Linked DNA regions of Anolis sagrei. The protein of the gene in region 2 purifies or fractionates together with the protein of the main gene of each other region. This does not show direct contact. Links are inferred from orthologs where the notes say so. Each region holds a gene or a part of one and is shown on either strand. Other genes may lie near its edges.

Evidence for each region.
Region 1: the proteins of SHC1 (region 2) and AP2A1 purify together in Homo sapiens (affinity purification with mass spectrometry; 4 studies listed by BioGRID and IntAct, counting the BioPlex papers as one, with this or other methods). This does not show direct contact. The link is inferred for Anolis sagrei from reciprocal best matches to the Homo sapiens genes SHC1 and AP2A1.
Region 3: the proteins of SHC1 (region 2) and AP2A2 purify together in Homo sapiens (affinity purification with mass spectrometry; 4 studies listed by BioGRID and IntAct, with this or other methods). This does not show direct contact. The link is inferred for Anolis sagrei from reciprocal best matches to the Homo sapiens genes SHC1 and AP2A2.

Annotation. Positions count from the first base shown.
Region 1 is NC_090026.1:28,905,016-28,911,737, reverse strand, and holds the start of AP2A1 (AP-2 complex subunit alpha-1), read left to right. Parts: upstream 1-2,371; 5' UTR 2,372-2,462; coding exon 2,463-2,529; intron 2,530-6,722.
Region 2 is NC_090032.1:233,292-240,013, forward strand, and holds the start of SHC1 (SHC-transforming protein 1), read left to right. Parts: upstream 1-2,396; 5' UTR 2,397-3,593; coding exon 3,594-4,202; intron 4,203-6,722. UniProt on the Homo sapiens protein: Signaling adapter that couples activated growth factor receptors to signaling pathways. Participates in a signaling cascade initiated by activated KIT and KITLG/SCF.
Region 3 is NC_090021.1:242,354,002-242,360,723, forward strand, and holds the start of AP2A2 (AP-2 complex subunit alpha-2), read left to right. Parts: upstream 1-2,751; 5' UTR 2,752-2,932; coding exon 2,933-2,999; intron 3,000-6,722. UniProt on the Homo sapiens protein: Component of the adaptor protein complex 2 (AP-2). Adaptor protein complexes function in protein transport via transport vesicles in different membrane traffic pathways.

The DNA.
Region 1 (6,722 bases), on a different chromosome or scaffold from region 2:
CGCTGATATTTGTCCGCTTGTCTTCCTAAGAGATTTGCAGGATTTTCCAGAGGCAGTGCTGATGGAATCGTTTTAGTAGTTGCATGTGACATCTGTAGATAGTCCACGTTTCGCAGGCATACAGCAGGATTGGGAGGACAATAGCTTTATTAACAAGCACCTTGGTAAACCCTATGGATGTTCTGGTCCTCAAACACTCTGTGCTGCATTTGGACGAATGCTGCACTCGCAGAATTCAGGCGGTTTTGTATTTCAGTGTCAATGCTGACTTTTGTGGAGAGGTGGGTGCCAAGGTAGCGGAAATGGTCAACATTTTCTAACGTTACACCATTAAATTGTATTTTTGGCATTGCAGAGGGATTCGCTGATGCCTGCTGGAAGAGCACTTTGGTTTTCTCGATATTCAGTGAGAGGCCGAGTTTCTCATATGCTTCTGCAAAGGTGTTTAGAGTGGCTTGTAGAGATAGCACACACTACATTGTCATCAGCATATTGGAGTTCTATAACAGATGTTGTGACCTTGGTTTTGGCTTTCAGTCTACTGAAGTTAAATAGCTTGCCCAGAAGTGGTTTGGCATTTAAATTCTCTAGAAACAGATCCTAGATAGCACTTGCCATATCTTCACATTGCTCTATATAAGTACTATTTTTTATCTTTAAAAAAAATAAAATGGTACTAAAAACTTACTAATTCTCATCTTAATAAATATTTTAAGCAATATTGGGAATGATAATTTCAAAATAATATTACTATTATTGTAAATAAGTATTATATTTATTATAATAAATATATATTATTATTATTAAATACTACTACTAAGATTGTTTATTTAGTAGCCATCCCCTGCCACACATTGCTGTGGCCCACTCTGGTGGTCATGGGGGTTCTGTGTGGGAGGTTTGGCCCAATTCTATCATCGGTGGGGTTCAGAATGCTTTGTGATTGTAGGTGAACTATAACTCCCAGCAACTACAACTCACAAATGTCAAGATTCTATTTTCCCCAAACTCCACCAGTGCTCACATTTGGGCATATTGAGTATTTGTGAAGAATTTGGTCCAGATCCATCATTGTTTGAGTCCACAGTGCTCTCTGGATGTTGGTGAACTACAACTCCAAAACCAAAGGATACTGCCCACCAAACCCTTCCAGTATTTTCTGTTGGCCATAGGAGAACTGTGTGGCAAGTTTGGTTCAATTCCATCGTTGGTGCGGTTCAGAATGCTCTTGGATTGTAGGTGAACTACAAATCCCAGCAACTACAACTCCCAAATGACGAAATCCATTTTTTTAGTGTCTTGTGTCCAAATTTGGTGTCAACTTGTCCAGTGGTTTTTAGGTTCTATTAATCCCACAAACGAACATTACATTTTTATTTATATAGATTTATTTATGACATTTATATGCCGCCCTTCTCACACCGGAGGGGAATTAGAGCGGCTTACAAAATATATATACATACAATATATTATATTATTAGCATAGTACAATATCAGTATTAAATATTACTATATTGTACTATACCATTATATTGAAATATTATTAGTAATATTACATGTAAAATAAATATGTAATTATAATAATATATTATTATTATTATATTGCATTACATTATAATATTATAAATATTATATGTATATACAATAAATTATATTATATTACATTATATTAAATAATATAAACATTAGACTATCAACAACAATAAATGTAGAAGAAATAATAGTACACTTAGATAAGAAGAACTCGAACCACATGGAAGAGGATTTGAATCCATGCCTTTCCATCCTTTAACATTTCTCTTTTGCGCCTATTGGCTCAAACCTCGTGACGTCAGCTGCCCCTCCCAGCCCAGTCTCCAAGTCTCCTCTCCCCAATGTTCCTTTTGCCGCCGTTCCGCTGTCACCTCTTTTAGCCAATGAAAAGAAGCATGCTGCTTGAATGACAAGAAGCTCTTCCTCCAATAAGAACCCAGAAGAAGTGTTGACTGTCCATCAGTGGGGCGGGAACTAAGCGTGCTGATTTCGCAAGAAGCTGGAGAGAAGGAGGGCGGGATATCCCTTGAAGGACATTCCTCAGAACCACTAAGAAGAAGAGATTGTCTACAAAGGGGCGGGAGGGAAAGAACTATAGGCGGGACATGTCCTAACCTACGCCCAATGGAAAATGCAGGACGGCAGGGGACTTATTTGACATAAGGGGCATGGCGGAGCCAATAGGGAGAGGGATAGGCGGGATTTAATCCTCTCTGCCAATCATCTAGGAGGATGCTTTGCCTTCAGTGAATAGGAACAAGGATGGACTTGACAGGCGGGGTCTCAAGCCAATGGGATGCAAAATCGCCTACGACGGACGTAGAGAGCGGCCAATGGGATAGTCCCTGGTCGGTTCGGTGCTGCTGGGCCAGGTTTCGGGCGCGGAGCGGAACGGAGCGTCGCCGGGGTCCCGATCCGCCACCGCCACCATGCCGGCCGTTTCCAAGGGAGACGGGATGCGGGGCCTGGCCGTATTTATCTCCGATATCCGAAACTGTGAGCAAATGGGGAAGGCTGGAGGAGAACGGGAGGGGAGGGGCCGTTGAAGAGGAAGGAGGGAATGGGAGAGGGCCGAAGGGGGGCTCGGAAAGGGGCCTCGGGTGGGATTGCGGCCGGGAAGGAGGCAGGAAGCCGGTTGACGGCCAGGCTAGGCCAGGCCAGGCCAAGGAGGGCCCTTGGGAGGGGCTCCTGGGGGCCCCTTGGCTCCAGCCTTGCTCTTGGAGAAAAATTGTGAGGGCATCCACACTGTGGAGTTGATCCAGTTCCATCCCACTTTAATTGCCATTGCTTGGGACCCTGGGAGTTGTAGTTTGGCCAGGCACCAGCACCCCTTTTTTTGACAGACCTTGTGAAACTACAGCTCCCAGGATGCCCTGGGAGTCCCAAGTTTTTGCCAAACTGAGCTAGTTCCACAACTGTGTCTCCACTGCACAATTATAGCGCTTTTAACCCCACTTTCACTGCCATGGGATCCTGGGAGTTGTAGTTTGTTGGGGCACCAGAGCTGTATATGCCTCACAAAACTACAACTTCCCCAGGACTGGATAGCATTGAGTGATTGCAATTAAGAGTGGGATCAAAACTGCATTAGGGTTGTTGTAGGTTTTTTCGGGCTATATGGCCATGGTCTAGAGCAGTGGTTCTCAACCTGGGGTCTCCACATGTTTTTGGCCTACAACTCCCAGAAATCCCAGCCAGTTTACCAGCTATTAGGATTTCTGGGAGTTGAAGGCCAAAAACATCTGGGGACCCCAGGTTGAGAACCACTGGTCTAGAGGCATTCTCTCCTGACGTTTCGCCTGCATCCATGGCAAGCATCCTCAAACATAGTGAGGTCTGTTGGAAGTAGGAAAAAGGGTTTATATATCTGTGGAATGACCAGGGTGGGACAAAGGACTCTTGTCTGCTGGAGCTAGGTGTGAATGTTTCAACTGACCACCTTGATTAGCATACACTATAATGACCTGAGAGTGCCTGAGAGGTGATTAGACAATACATAAAACTGCATTAATTCTACAGTGTGGATATAGTTCAGGCTGGCTGGCTGGCAAGGGGAGATTTGACTAAGGCAGGCATGGGCAAACTTTGACCCTCCAGGTGCTTTGAACTCCCAAAATTTCTAACAGCCGGCTGTTAGGAATTGTGGGAGTTGATGTCCAAAACACCTGGAGGGCCAAAGTTTGCCCATACCTGCTCTAAGGTGATAAGTTGGACTTACGAGTTGGCTACAGTGTCAGCTGTAGGTTGGGTGACAGGTTTGGCTTAGGAGTTCACTTGGGGACATAGGGTGAAATATAAATAAAGTATTATTATTATTTGATACATAATAATATTAGTACACAGTAAACAAGATCACTATCCTGGCTTTTGTGTTTGCTCACACGCCGGATACTTCCCAAGTGTCTAGGACTCTGTGATGTTTCGGCAAATAATGTGTGCAGATTCTAGTAGGGTGGCCTTTTGCAGCTGACAGATGGTATTTTTGTCAGCGTCTATTGTTTTTAGGTGCAGGCCAAGGTCTTTAGGCACTGCACCCAGTGTGCCAATCACCACTGGGACCGCCTTTGCCGTCTTGTGCCAGAGTCTTTGCAGTTTTATCTTTAAATCCTCACATCGTGTCAGCCTTTCCAGTTGCTTCTCATCAATCCTGCTGTCGCGTGGGATTGCAACATCAAAGATCCATACTTGGTTTTTTTCCACAATTGTGAGGTCAGGAGTATTGTGTTTCCAAGAACTTGTCAGTCTGAATTTGGAAGTCTCAGAATTGTTTGATGTGTTTATTTTCGTAACTTTTTCAGGCTTGTAATTCCACCAATTCTTTGTCACAGGCAGATGGTATATTATTATTATTATTATTATTATTATTATTATAGCAAAGCAGCTTTTTGGAACTAACTTGAAAAACAGAGCGAGCCACCAGGTGCCAATGTGGAAGATGGACATTGTTGTATGGTTGTAGACTGTGGTCTCATCTCCACTGACTATTTAACACAGTTTCAAACTGACATTGAAGAAAGTGGTTTCGTCGTGCAGATGAATACACAAAGGAAACCCTGGTCCAGATGGTGATAAGACAAACTATACAGAGGATTTTCTTTCACACACTTTTGTGGGACTTTCTCGATGCCACAGTTTGAAGCTAGGTCTGAATTGCATTAAATGGTCAGTGCAGATGGGGCTTGTGTGGAGGTGGACTAGGGAGTGGGTGCTGGAGAATATGAGGGTTGCAAAGGAAAAAGGGGCATGAGAACCAAGGTTAAATATTTGAAAGGATGTCATGTTGATGAGTGGACAAGCTTTGTTTTCTGCTGCTCCAGAGACTAGGACACAGTGGAGCCGTAGATTCAAATGATTGAAAATGAGATTTCACCTGAATATTAGGAAGAATTTCCTGACCATGAGAGCTGTTCAATAGTGGAACTCTGCTTCAGAGTGGGATGGAGTCTCCTGCTCTATAGGCTTTTTAACAGAAGCAGGATGGCCATCTGTTGGGAGTGCTTTGATTATGTGTTCCTACATCGCAGGGGTTGGACTGGATTGCCTTTGTGATCTCTTCCAATTTTATCATTAAGTGTCTGGTTTTTACCTGATTTCTGATATTTGGAGGGAGAAAAAGTGGGGTGCAATAAAAAAGCAAAAAAAAGTTGTCAACGGAGAATGTGAGAAGGGCTCATGAGGCAGGAAGAAAGGAACAAACTCTCATCCTGGTTTGTTCATGTGTGGATTTCAATGCCCTTCTTCATTCCCATGTTCCCACAACAAGGGCATTCAAAAAGTGAATCATACACAAAAATCCAAAACTAGGGAAATGGACACATTCCATAGTACAGGATTACATTTTCTTGGGAAGCATTTGTGTTGGATCTATACCAATATAGAGGGTTAAAGGTGATATTCATCACTTGGCACCAAGGGCTTGGACAGATACTGTTGAGAGCAAAGTAAGAAACAGCTATTTACATTGAGTTGTTGTAGGTTTTTCGGACTTTATGGACTTTATGGCGTTCTCTTGACGTTTTACCTGCATCTATGGCAGGCATCCTCCGAGGTTGTGAGACCCCACAACCTCTGAAGATGTCTGCCATAGATGTAGGTGAAACATCAGGAGAGAATGCTTCTAGAACATAGTCATATAGCCCGAAAAACCTACAACAACCCAGTGATTCCGGCCATGAAAGGCTTCGCCAGCTATTTACATTCTGTGTACAAAACGCAAAGGGGGGGGGGGGGGGGGGAATAGCCTGAATTCTGTTTGGGGAACACAAAATAAATTAGAGAAATGTTCCTGGCTGCTGTGAATCAAATTCTCTGTCCCCTCCCCAATGCATATCAGGTAGAGCCTAATGGAACATATAATTCCTATCAGGAACATCCATTTGCCTTAAGGGCAAATGGATGATTTTGATAGGAAGTATATGTTCATAGCTGTCAGCATTATGTGGTATTGGGGAAAAAAAGATTGGCAATCACTGAGCTTTAATAGTAAGTATAAATAGGAACCTTGTCATTTTTCAGCTTGCCTCTGCAGTAATAGGAAAGATGCTAGTAGTGATTGAAAGGATGAAGATGTTACATTTCAGATCCATGAGATCTTCGTTCAGTGCCAAGTCTTTCTTTCTAGACTTTTGTGGGGGCGTTCCAGTGTGGCCAAAAGTGTCTGTTTCCGTTCGCTTTCCCTACTTCCTTCTCAAGAATCCTGATCTTCCCCTTCACCCCACCCTTCCTCTCTTTGGCTCACACAGTCACAGAGTGTTGTGCAATATCTTTTTTTTTGCAAAGATTGTACATGAAACCAATAGGGTGATTGCAGTGTGTGGCTCTCCACGGGTAGCAGTCTTCGGGGCTAATTTCAAACAGTCCTTTTTAGACTTTGATCCTACCATTGTTGACTCTTCTTCGTCTCCCACCACCCAAACATCCCTGGGGGAGAAAGTCAATCTGAAAGCAAAAGCCATCCTAGAAAATATACACAAACAATGTACAGAGGGTGTGGGAAATTGTAATTATGTCATGAGTTGGAGCACACTAAAGATAACTTCACTGCACTGGAATTTCAGGAAAAAGATTATTATGTCGTGATTTTGATGGAGCTTAAGACTATGAATCATTGCAGGGCCAATGGAGAGCATTATAGGCTCTTTTCTTGCAGTCCTGTGTGAAGGTTGAGATTACTAAGCATGAGGTTGCTG
Region 2 (6,722 bases):
CTCATTAAGAGCCACATCCACTGTTTTAGCGTGGTGGGATGTGTTCCACACTGGGCATGCAGACTCAGCAGCAGAGTAGCATAGCGCAAGGGCAGATGTCTTCACTGTGTCTGGTTGTGATCCCCAGGTTGTGCCAGTCAGCTTTCGTATGATGTTGTTTCTAGCGCCCACTTTTGGCGCTTCAATTTGGCTGGCAGCATATTGTATTTTATGTTATTTTATTTCTTGATTTTTGTTGTGTTTTGTGTTATATTGTGTTTATTGTATTGATGACCTCATGTAAGTTGCCCCGAGTCCCCTTTGGGGAGATGGTGGCGGGGTGTAAATAACATTTTGTTGTTGTTGTTGTTGTTGCAGGTGTTTGGATTGTGTTGTTGCTACTACTGCTGCTACTACTACTAACTGACCTGTTTTAAGTGATTGTTTTATTCTGTTTCCATGTCTATATGACGTAGATTGTCGCAGGCGCTTGGATTTTGAAATATTATTGCTAACGGACTTGTTTTAATAATATTTGGGTTCATTTTTCCATGTAGTTGTTCTGAAGCAATTGTGCATTACTAGCCGAGATCCATATTCCCAGGTACTTTATCTTGGTCTTAACTTGGAATCCTGTCCTTTCTTGTAGTTCTTCTTTTCTCTTTTTTGTGATGTTTTTAGTTAAGATGACTTCTTATTATTTATTTTGAATCCCGCTATCTTCCCAAATGCTTCGGTTCTTGATATCCACTTTTCTATGTTTTTGACTGGGTCCTCTATGATGCAGATCACGTCATCCGCAAAAGCCCTTAATTTGAATTCTTGCTTGGCAATCTTCAATCCTTTCAGTTCTCTGTCCCGTCTTATTATGTATTCCAGCAATGTTTCTAGTGCCATTATGAATATTAAGGGGGAGAGGGGACATCCTTGTCGAGTCCCTTTACTGATTTGGAACTTTTCTGTTAGTTGTCCATTTATTTGAATTCTTGCTTCTTGGTTAGTGTTTATAGCATTCTTAAATTGGTAGCCTAGGTCTAATTCGTCCATCAGTAATTTAAAGAAGTTCCAGTTCAGGTTGTCGAATGCCTTTTCCGCATCTAGTGATAGCAGTGCTAGTTCTTTCTGATGATGGGTGTTGTAGTATTCCATTGTATTACAGGTTATGGGGGGTGGGTTTTGGGTTTTGTTTTCCTTCCATCATGCCTAGAGAGGGTTTGACAGGGATGGCCTTTGGGGTCTCTTCTGGATTTGAAATTGCCCTGTTTTGTAGTGTTGAAAGCCGCTTTGCATCCTAATGAGAAATCAAAAAGTGGTATGTTTTTTGTTACAATTCCTAACTGACTCCGTTTAATGATTGTATGTTCCGTTTTATTGTCATGTTTATATGATGCAGATTTCAAACTGCATGTGTCTTTTAATGTTGTGGGCCATTTTGCCTCTTAATCAGCGATGGAAGTTGGGTGATAATAATATTAATAGAAATAAATAATAATAATAATAATAATAATAATAATAATATAAGCCATAGGGACCTTTTAAGCTGGAAGGAAAGTGGGAGGCATATTCCCTAACTTGAAAGTAGCCACTGGAAGAGAGAATAATTATTATTATGTATTATTATTACTTATTTACAGTATTTATATACCGCCTTTCTCAACCCTGGGGGGACTCAAAGCGGGTTTACACAAAAATAATGGCAAGATTCATGGCAAGAATAATGGCCTTATGTTGGCCAATACAATTACAATAGTAAAACCACAATTAAACATAAATCCTAATGAAAACAATACATCAACAAGCATTAAAACAATAAAACAGTCTCGTCAACGTATTGTCGAAGGCTTTCATGGCCGGAATCACAGGGTTGCTATAGGTTTTTTCGGGCTATATGGCCATGTTCTAGAGGCATTCTCTCCTGACATTTTGCCTGCTTCTATGGCAAGCATCCTCACCTCACTACCTCTGAGCATCCTCGTCAGCCACCATAACTACCATATTGACCGGCTATTAGGAATTATGGGAGTTGAGGTCCAAAACACCTGGAGGGTTGAAGTTTGCCCAGGCCTCATATTGACTCAAGTCTAACGCTCCATCGAAGGTGAGCATTAGATATGAGTATAATAGTAGTAGTAGTAGTAGTTGTTGTTGTTGTGATGCCTGTGCCATATGCCTGCCACTCCGAAAGGTCCCTCCATCTTGTCTGGAGCCCAGTGACCTTGAGTGTGAGTGAGCCAGTGAGTGAATGAGTGAGTGCTTGCTCACCTTGACCCCTCCTGCCTTGGAGCCTGGCCTCTGCGTCCTCCGCTTGGCCCGCGTTCCCTCTTTGCAAAGGCAAGGTGGGCAGGGGCCTCCCACCCACCCACCTCTCCCCTTGTGAGTCAGCAGTGCCCTCCCTCCTCTCTCCTTCCTTCCTTCCTTCCTTCCTTCCTTCCTTCCTTCCTTCCTTTCCTCCATTGGTGGCAGTGGAGGCTTGGCCTCTTTCCGTCCTCCGCCTTCTTTCTTTCTTTCTTTCTTTCTTTCGCTGCCGGAGCCGCACTCAGGAAGCGGCAGCAATTCACCCTCCGCAGCAGAATCCAAGGGCGGACAGGAAGGGGTTCAGGGGGGACCCCAAAGAGGACACTGCCGGCGGGCACCTGAGCTGCAAGGAGGGAGGGGCCTGTCTCTCCAGAGAAGGCCGCCTCCAGACGGTCGGGTCCGGCATCTCCGGCTGACCGCTGCCCATCACTGCTGCCCACGTGGGCTCCCCCCCCCCCACACACACTCCTCCTCCTCCTCTTCGGTGGCTGAACAGAGCGGCTTGTGTTCGGCTTCCTGGCAGGCTCCCCACTGCCTCCACCTTCCCGGATCCATCTCTGTGGCCTCCCTCGCTTTGGGCCGTTTCTCCATCTCTCCTTCGCAGGACGTGGCTCTCCGATTGTCATCCTCAAGCAGCAGAAGAAGGACGACGATCCAAATCAAAGCAGGGAGAGGCTCAGCAGTGTGGGAATCGGAGATCGGGACGCGAGGCGCTGTCCTCCTTCATCTCCTCTTCTTCTCCTCTGGCATCCCACAGACTGGGATCTTGGCTGTCATTGGCGTGGTCTCTTGGCCCTTCCTTCGATTGAGTGGATTTGGTGCAAGGACAACAGCGATGACCGTAACCGGACAGTCCTAACCCCTTGGGTCCCAAGGCGCTGTCCTCCTCCTCGCTCATCTCTGGTATCCCAGCTTTGAGGACCACAGACTGGGATCTCGGCTGTCATTGGCGTGGTCTGTTGGCCCTTCCTTCGATTGAGTGGATTTGGTGCAAGGACAACAGCGATGACCGTAACCGGACAGTCCTAACCCCTTGGGTCCCAAGGCGCTGTCCTCCTCCTCCCTCTTCTCTGGCATCCCAGCTTTGAGGACCACAGACTGGGATCTCGGCTGTCATTGGCGTGGTCTGTTGGCCCTTCCTTCGATTGAGTGGATTTGGTGCAAGGACAACAGCGATTACCATAACCGGACAGTCCTAACCCAGGGGTGGATTTCTCCTTGGATCCCCTCCCTTTGGTCAGCCATGTCGTCCAGGCAGAGCATCACCTTCAGACCGGCGTTGGCAGGAGCGTGAGCTTGGCCAGGACTCACTTGTTGGGATGGACCTCCTCCAGAAGAGCAGATACAACCACCTGCGCAACGACTCCCTCTCCTCCCTGGAGGATGGGCCCTTGGGGGTGGCTGTGGCGGGGGTGGCGACGGCGGCAGAGGAGGAGGAGGAGGATGAGGAGGGCTCCCCGCCGGACCCCTTTGCGCTCCTGCCGGCGGGCTCTCTCTCGTCGTCGTCCTCGCTGAGCCCCATGCTGCCCCTGGGGGAGCTCTCCTCGGAGTCGGAGGACAGCCCCACCACCCTCTGCTCCTTCTTCCCCAAGATGGCCAACCTCAAGCTCTCCAACCCGGCCGCCACGCTGCTGGGCGGCTTCCGGGGCTTCTCCAGGGAAGAGCCCCCGCCCGTGCCCCCAGCGTTGCCCCCGCCAGCCTTGCCCCCCTTGCCCCCCCTTGCTGCCGCCTCCCCGGGCTCAGCTCTGGCTCTCTCTTCCCAGGATATGAACAAGCTGGGCTGCGGCGGGAAGAAGATGCGGGTGGAAGGCGGCCAGCTGGGAGGGGACGAGTGGACGCGCCACGGCAGCTTTGTCAACAAGCCCAGCCGCGGGTGGCTGCACCCCGACGACAAGGTCATGGGCCCCGGAGTCTCCTACCTCGTCCGGGTGAGTGAGCCAGGGCTTGTTCAGAAGAGGAACTCTCTGCCTCAGAGTTCGTTGGAAGCTCCTCCTTGGGAGGGTGGGTGGGCATCTGTCAGGGGGGCTTTGATTGTGCTTTTCCTGCAGGGCAGGAGGAAAGGGGGTGGCCTCTGGGGTTGCTCCTGTTGTTGTTCTTTACAAAGGCTGGGTGGCCATCTATTAGGGTACTTTGATTGTGCTTTTCCTGCATGAAGGCAGAAGGGGGTCGGATTGGGATTGCTCCTGTTGTTGTTGTTGTTGTTGTTGTTACTAGTAGTAGTGCTATTGTTATGGCTACTACAGAGACTGGATGGCCATCTGTCAGGTTGCTTTGATTGTGCTTTTCCTGCATGAAGGCAGAAGGGGGTTGGACTGGAATTGCTCCTATTGTTGTTACTACTAGTAGTGCTATTGTTATGGCTACTACAGAGCTGGGTGGCCATCTATCGGGGTGCTTTGATTGTGCTTTTCCTGCATGAAGGCAGAAGGGGGTTGGAGTGGGATTGCTCCTGGGGTTGTTGTTGTTGTTACTACTAGTAGTGCTATTGTCATTACTACTACAGAGACTGGATGGCCATCTGTCAGGGTGTTTTGATTGTGCTTGTCCTGCGTGAAGGCAGAAGGGGGTTGGATTGGGATTGCTCCTGGGGTTGTTGTTGTTGTTGTTACTACTAGTAGTGCTATTGTCATTACTACTACAGAGACTGGATGGCCATCTATCAGGTTGCTTTGATTGTGCTTTTCCTGCATGAAGGCAGAAGGGGGTTGGACTGGGATTGCTCCTGGGGTTGTTGTTGTTCCTACTAGTAGTGCTATTGTCATGGCTACTACAGAGACTGGATGGCCATCTATCGAGGTGCTTTGATTGTGCTTGTCCTGCATGAAGGCAGAAGGGGGCTGGACTGGATGGCCCTCTTTGTAGCGCCTTCCAGCTCTCGGATTGTATCTCCCTATTATGGCAGAAGGGGGTAGACTGGATGGCCTCCTTTGGGGCCCTTTCCCACTCTGTGAGTCTAGTAGTAATCATGATAACAATGGACACTAACCTCCCAGCCACCCCGCCTCCCTCCTCCTCTTTGGCCGGCCTCCCTGTGCCTGGGCGCCTGCCCCCGGCCTTCCCTTCCGCCACATGATTGCCCTTGACGGGCGTGTGCCGGGGAGCGAGTGAGCAAGCGAGTGAGTGTGCGTCCATCCGTCCATCTGCCCCCGGGGGCTTGGCGCACAGGCCCTTCCCTGGCGCAGCGACCCACTTTGAGGCACCCGGCTGCTGCCCCCCTGCGACACCCAAGGAAGGACCCAGCCCCCCCCCCCCTCCGCTTGCCTTCCTCGCTCAGCTGGAGACACAGGGCGGGGGAAGGAAAGGTCCCTCGACTTGGAAGGGACCCCCAGGGCCACCTCAAGCCCCTTCGGCCAGGCAGGACAAGCACAATCAAACCCCTCCCAACACGATGGCCAGCCAGCCTCTGCTTAAGGAGTTGGGTGGATGGATGGAGAAATAGATTGAATAGAATCCCAGAGTTGGAGGGCGCCCCAAGGGAAAGAGTTCTCTCTGTGATGGGTTGGGCTGGGTATCCCTTGGGGGGCAGAGGTGCAGAGGTAAGACCTTCAGTAGATCAATAAGCAGGCAGAGGTGCAGAGGTAAGAGTTCAGTAGATCAATAAGCAGGCAGGCAGGGAGGGAGGGAGAACCCATCTAGTCCAACCTGTAGGTAGGGAAGTAGACAGATGGACGGACGGATGGATGGATGGATGAATGGATAAATGGATGGATGGATGGATAGATGGATGGATGGATGGGTGGATGGATGGATGGATGGATGGATAGATGAGATAGACAGAGAGAGAGAGAGATAAAGTAGATAGCTAGATGGATAGCTAGATGGATGAACGGATAGGTAGGTAGGTAGGTAGGTAGGTAGATAGATAGATAGATAGATAGATAGATGGCTAGATGGATAGGTAGATGGATAGGTAGATGGGTAGATGGATAGATGGATAGACAGAGGGATCAAGGAGATAGCTAGATGGATAGCTAGATGGATGAACGGATAGGTAGGTAAGGTATGTGGATGGATAGATGGATAGATGGATGGATGAATACGTAGGTAGGTGGATGGATGGAAAGATAGATAGATAGATAGATAGAGTAGATGGATAGAGAGAGAGAGAGAAAGTAGATAGGTAGATGGATAGCTAGATGTAGAATTGATAGGTAGATAGATGGATGGATAGATGGATGGATAGCTAGATGGATAGAGTAGATGGATGGATGGATGGATGGATGGATGGATGGATGGATGGATGGATAGATAGATAGATGTAGAGAGAGGCAGGTAGATGGATAGCTAGATGGATGAATGGATAGGTAGGTAGGTAGGTAGGTAGGTAGATAGATAGATAGATAGAGTAGATGGAGAGAGGGAAAGAGAGAGAAAATTAGGCAGATGGATAGCTAGATGGATGAATGGATAGGTAGATAGAGTAGATGGATAGATGAATAGATAGATAG
Region 3 (6,722 bases), on a different chromosome or scaffold from region 2:
TGGGTGGGCCAACCTGGTTGCTTCCACTATATCGGCTATTGCTGCAAATAATGACAATGTGAATAAATTGTCAAAATTTGCTTGAGATAGTACTTGCAGTTCTGAAGGGGGCTTGTTTAATTTTTGCTTCTCATAGACTTAGCAGGGGGATTTGGTTAATTTTCATTTTAATTTGGTTAAAATTCATGAGTAAAACAGTTTAAAAAAAACCTGAAAAAATGGGTGTGTGTGAATTCCTCCCCCTCCCCCCCCCCCCCCCCCCCAGCCCTGGAGTGGCATGTCTCAACTCCAAGGCTATGTACATAGGCCGGTTTTTCTCAATCTGGGGATTGTGAGGAGGTGTTAGAGGGGTCTCCAAAGACAATCTGAAAACACACTATTTTCTGTGGTCATGGGGGTTCTGTGTGGGAAGTTTGGCCCAATTCTATCATTGGTGAGGTTCAGAATGCTCTTTGATTGTAGGTGAACTATAAATCACAGCAACTACAACCACCAAATATCAAGGTATATTTCCCCCAAACTCCACTGGTGTTCACATTTGGGCATATTGAGTATTCGTTTCATGTTTGTTCCAGAGGCATCATTGTTTGAGTCCACAGTGCTCTCTGGATGTTGGAGAATAACTGTACAACTCCAAAACTCAAGGTCAGTGCCCATCAAACCCTTCCAGTATTTTCTGTTGGTCATGGGAATTCTGTGTGCCAAGTTTGGTTCAATTCCATCGTTGGTGAAGTTCAGAATGCTCTTTGATTGTAAGTGAACTCTAAATCCCAAGGATTACTTTTACCAAAAAACCCCCACTTTGGATCAACTTGAAGCTGACCAAAGAAGAGAATCTGGTGGAGAATCATGGCCCCCTTACAAAGAAGTCCTAAAGAGACAAAATGGGAACTTTATGATAAAGACGCAAGAGGAATTAAAGGAAAAGTTTAAGCACATTTCATGGTTCCGATATAGACAAATCAGAGAACATTATAATGTGGACAAGAAAAGAGGCTTTATGGCAAAGGAGACGGTCTGGGATAAAATAATGCTCTCTCAAAGCAAAATCATCTCCAAAATTTACAAGAAACTCTCAGAATGGGCACAGGAAAAAAAGACAGACAAAGACTGCATGGCAAAGTGGGCCTCAAACGTTGGACGCACAATAGGACTCAGTGAATGGGAATTAATATGGAATACTAAAATAAAATTCACTTATTCATATGAACTACAGGAAAACTGATATAAAATACAATACCAGTGGTATCACACACCTGAAAATTTACCAAAATGTTATAAGAACTTAGGTGCAAAATGTTGGAAATGCAAAGATGAGATGGGCTCATTCCTACACATGTGGTGGAGCTGTAACAAAGTAAGGAAATATTGGAAAATAATTCACGGTGCAATCCAAAAAATAATTCAAGAACAAATAAATTTTAGTCCAGAACTCTTCTTGTTGGGTATCATGGATTAAAAATTGGAAAAGAATAAAGACATCCTCCTCACCTATTTAACAACTGCTGCAAGAATAGTACTCGCAAGGCGCTATAAAACAGAAGAAATCCCAACAAGACAAGAATGGTTGATAAAAATGATAGAGATCATGAAAATGAATCTACTCACTCAACAACTAGCTCACAACCAAAACAGAACTAGAAAAGCGACAGACTGGTCACAACTAATTTATTTATTTATTTTATTTAAAACATTTATATTCCACCCTTCTCACCCTGAAGGGGACTCAGGGAGGAGCACAGCATATATATGGCAAACATTCAATGCCGGGACATAAATTCATATACACATACATAAACATTAAAAACATTAATCTCAATATTAAAAGGCACCATCTAAAACCATCCTAGTCATCAGTGGCAAATCTAATCGGCCTGGTAATCTTTCCTATTTCCGATTTATTGCCCTGTCCTGAAAGCTTGGTCCCACAGCCAGGTTTTTACCATCCTTCTGTAGGACAGGAGGGAGTGGGCTGACCTGATCTCACCAGGAAGGGAGTTCCATAGCCAGGGAGCAATCACTGAGAAGGCCCTGTCTCTCGTCCCCACCAATCGCGCCCGTGACCACAACTAACCAGCTTTCTGAAACAGGAGAAGATGAAGGTTATGCTATGAACGGAAAAACAAAGAACAGCTTAAGCACTTGAAGCAGATAATCAACCTAGGAAAGAACCAGTAAAGAAGAACCCCCAACAAACTGGCCCACGGTCAAGAGTAAATATCCTGTAACCCCCTTCAATTTTTTTTCTTTTTCTCCCCTTCCTATTCATTTTTTTAACCTGCAAAATAAAATCAATAAAGATATATTTAAAAACAAAACAAAACAAAACAAAACGATAAATCCCAGCAACTACAACTCCGAAATGATCAAATCAACCCCCACCCCACCAGTATTCAAATTTGGGCGTATCCAGTCTGTGTGCCAAATTTGTTGCAGTGAATAAAAATACATCCTGCATGCCAGAGATTTACATGACGATTCAGAACAGTAGCAAAATTACAGTTATGAAGTAGCAACGAAAATAATATTATGGTTGGGGGTCAGCACAACATGAGGAACTGTAGTATTAGGGAGGTTGAGAAACACTGACGTAGGCGGCCTCCCATCCAAGCGCTAACCAGCGCTGACCCTGCAGAGCTGACCGGGTGCCTTGGCTTCTGCCTGTCTCTCCCTCCTTAACTTCCCGGCCGCCTTCTCGCCTCCGCCCGGCAGGGGGCGCGTGTCCCGGGCATCTCTAGCGGGGTCTTGGCGAGGCGAGCGTGGGCAGGAGGAGGAGGAGGAGAGGCGCGCGTGCGTGGCGTGGGCGGCTGCAGGGCTAAAGGTCCTCCTCCTCCTCCTCCTCCTGCTTCTGCTGAGACTGAAACCGAGCGGCGGCCGTGGCTGCTCCGCTGCTGCCGATTGCGGAAAGCTCGGCCAAGGCTTCGCCGCCAAAATGCCGGCTGTGTCCAAAGGCGATGGGATGCGCGGCTTGGCCGTCTTCATCTCCGACATCCGGAACTGTGAGTGGCCCCCCTGGGGGGGGGGATGGGGGCGCCTCCTTTTGCGCGTGGGCAGAGGGGAGAGGAGGCTCGGAGCTGGCTTCCCATCATGGCGTGGGGAGAAAGAAGGCGAAGCTTGGCCGCCTCCTTCCCTCTTGCCTGCTCGGTCTGTCGGGCGGGGCTTTTGCTTCTCTCATGCCTTCCTTAAGGACTGAAGTAACGGGAATGAGCTCACCGTTCCTGGCCTTAGGAAGAAGCTCCGTTGGAAAGAGAGCCTTTCCAACGGAGTGTGTTTGTTCTGCATTCCTAGGGCCTTTTCCCCCTCCTTGAAATGACATGCCCTTCTCTTGCCTCCCCATAAAAGCCTTCCGTCATCTACACTATGGAATGAATGCGTTTGACACCACTTTTAATTGCCCTGGCTCAATGCTATGGGATCCTGGGAGTTGCAGTCTTACAAGACCTTTAGCTGGCTCTTCCAGAGAGGGCTGGGGCCTCACCAAACTACCCATCCCAGGATTGCATAGCACTGAGCCGTGGAAGTCAAGCTGCATTCATTCTACAGTGTAGACCAGGTATGGGCAAACTTGGGCCCTCCAGGTGTTTTGGACTTTAACTCCCACCATTCGGAATGGTGGGAGTTGAAGTCCAAAACACCCGGAAGGCCCAAGTTTGCCCATACCTGGTGTAGATCCATCCATAGATGGAGAAAGCCAAAGATCTTGGGAAACTACAACTTCCAGGATTTAGAAGTTTGCCCATACCTTCTGTAGATACATCTGTAGGTAAAGAAAACCAAAGATCTTGGGAAACTACAACTCCCAGGATTCAGAAGTTTGCTCATACCTCTGTAGATACATCTGGAGGTAAAGAAAGCCAAAGATCTTGAGAAACGACAACTGCCAGGATTCAGAAGTTTGCCCATCCCTGGTGTCGATACATCCGTAGGTAGAGAAAGCCGAACACCTTGGGAAACGACAACTCCCAGGATTAATTACCATTGCGCCATGGCAAAATGGTGTCAAAGTGCATTAATTTTGCAGGTAGATGCACCTTGCAAGTCTTTAGGGACGTATCCTCCTTGATTCACTTCTGTTCCTAAACCATCCTGACTGAGTGGCTTGCAATGTGTGAAGCCCAGGTGATCTGCCCATTCAAAGCCTGACAACTCATCCCAGTGAAACCACTGGGTCTGTTCTGTGAGGAAAACAGATAAATCTGGAAATCCTCTAGGAAAGAAATGCTTTAGTTAGTAGGGAGGAGGAAGAGGGAGAATGTAGCTCCTTTTGAAGAAAGTGACATTTCCCTTTTTCTATGGCCGTGTGAATCAGGACATTTCATGCAATGCTCCAAGTGCATTTATTGTTTATAAGAGGTACAGTATATGTGTGCGATGCTACCACCATAAACACCTCTACAATCCCTTGTTTTCAATTGAAAGAGTAATATGTTGAAAATCTATTACACACAACAGCCGCCCAATGAAATCAACCCCAATTTAGAATAATCCCAATCTCGCAGTTTTGAGCTGTGCTCTCCCTACACATTTGTCCCCTGAATTCAGTTCAGTTTGGAGATACCAACCGTTGGAATGGCTCAGGCTTTGTTGTCTCTATTTAGCAGGCAAGTTAGTCAAATTGGTGCAGGGCTTGTGTGTGAGTGTGTCGATAAGCCTGCAAGTCATCTGAGGTTTTACCATTTCCATGCTGCGTAGCTGACAAAATACTCCTAATCTTCTTTTGGCAGCAGGGCTGCTGCCTCCAGGAGACCTTTTAAAGCTGATCTAGAGATGTCTGTCTGTGTAAAGAGCCATTAGCCAGTGGTCAGTATTAATCTTTGGAATTGGTTGAAGGAGGCCAAGGACTGGATTGGTAGTTATTTCAGCACACACTTTCTCACCACAAATGGACTATCAAAAATCCTCATATTGTGTGGACCTAGAGTTGGAAGAGACCTCGTGGACCATCCAGTCCAACCCCCTTCCAAGAAACAGGAAAATTGCATTCAAAGCATCTCTGACAGATGGCCATCCAGCTTCTACTTAAAAGCCTCCAAAGAAGGAGCCTCCACCACAGTGCAGGGCAGAGAGTTCCATTGCTGAACAGCTCTCACAGTTCTTCCTAATGTTCACGTGGAATCTCCTTTCCTGTAGTTTGAAGCCATAGTCTCTAGGGCAGCAGAAAACCAGCTCCCTGTGACTTTTCCTCATATATTTATATATGACTATCATGTCTCCTCTCAGCCTTCTGTTCTGCAGGCTAAACATGCCCAGCTCTATAAGCCTCTCTTCATAGGTCTTGTTCTCCAGACCCTTGATCATTTTAGTTGCCCTCCTCTGGACACATTCCAGCTTGCCTGGCATGAATAAAAAATCTTCTTGCTGAAAAGAGATATTCTCACCCACCAGATACCATATATGGTTGGTGCATCACATTTGTGAACTTGAATATTTACGGTTTTTATTATAATGTTCTTCCCAGGAATCTCAAGGTCCTCCAGTGCAACTCTGTGGTCAATTTCCACCAGAAGTGGAGGACCTCGAGGTTACTAGAAAGAACACCTCTCTTGGAATCTCTTGGCCTCCAATGTGATTCAGGCAGAAATTAACAATAGAATGGTGCTGGACAACCCAGAAATTCCTAGAGGGGTGTTCTCTTAGGTAAAATAAAGGTTGTTTTTTTAAAAAATGTGGTTGTTCACTTTTGCAGGGATCATGTGCCCCTAAATGAAGATTGAGGGTTGACTAGGCTTCAGAAAAATGAATGACAAGTAGATTTGTTTCTGGAGTGCTCCAGAAATAACCTCTTCTCCACCATCTCATAGTGAAGAAACATAATAGGAAATATCTCCCAGTAGCCATACTATAGGAGTTTGGCACAAAATAACTGGTTAGATATTACCATAGTGATCACTGTGCTTTCTGTGCTGATTCTTGTCTTTCATGTATTCTACCGGAATCAGGTTATGCCCATTGGGGCAGAGATTGACATAACCTCAATTTGATTTAGTATCAAGTAGGTGTTATTTATTTATTTATTTACCATATTTATATCCCACCTTTCTCAAGCCCAGAGGGGACTCAAGGCAGCTTACAACTGGCAGCAATTCCATACCCCTCATTTAAAAAAAATCTCTAGTTGGTGAAGCAAACCATTATTTGGAAGTGGCCTCTCAGAGAGGACTGTTCAGGGATGGATATGCTTAAATCCCTTTGTGCAATAGAAGGCTTTTTAGCTCTTTTTGCCATTTGTAGGGTACGATATGTGTGTGCCTTCAAGTCATCTGTCGACTTACAGCAACCACATGAATTTCATAGGATTTTAAAAGCAAGGAATACACAGAGAAGGCTTTGCAGTTCCTTCCTCAAAAATATAGCCAATGGCATTTAGTGTTCTCTGGCAGTGTCTCATCTATATGTTAACCTGGGCTGACCCTGATTTGCTTCCAGGATCTGATAGGATCTGGTACCTTTAGGGGATTTAAGCCAATGGACTCGGGGAGTCTGGGGTCCAATTCCCCACTAAATCATGAAAACCACTAGATGACCTTGGGAAAGTCACTTTACCTCAGGCGTAAAGGAAGGCCTCCTTTGAATAAGTCCTCGCCCCCGCACCAGAAAAAATAGGGTCACAGTATGTCCAAGTTAACAGCAAACATCACATTTATTATTACAGTTTTTATTCTATAACTGCTTGCATCCATTGTATTTATTCCAGTAATAGGCTAATCAACAGAATGACAGAA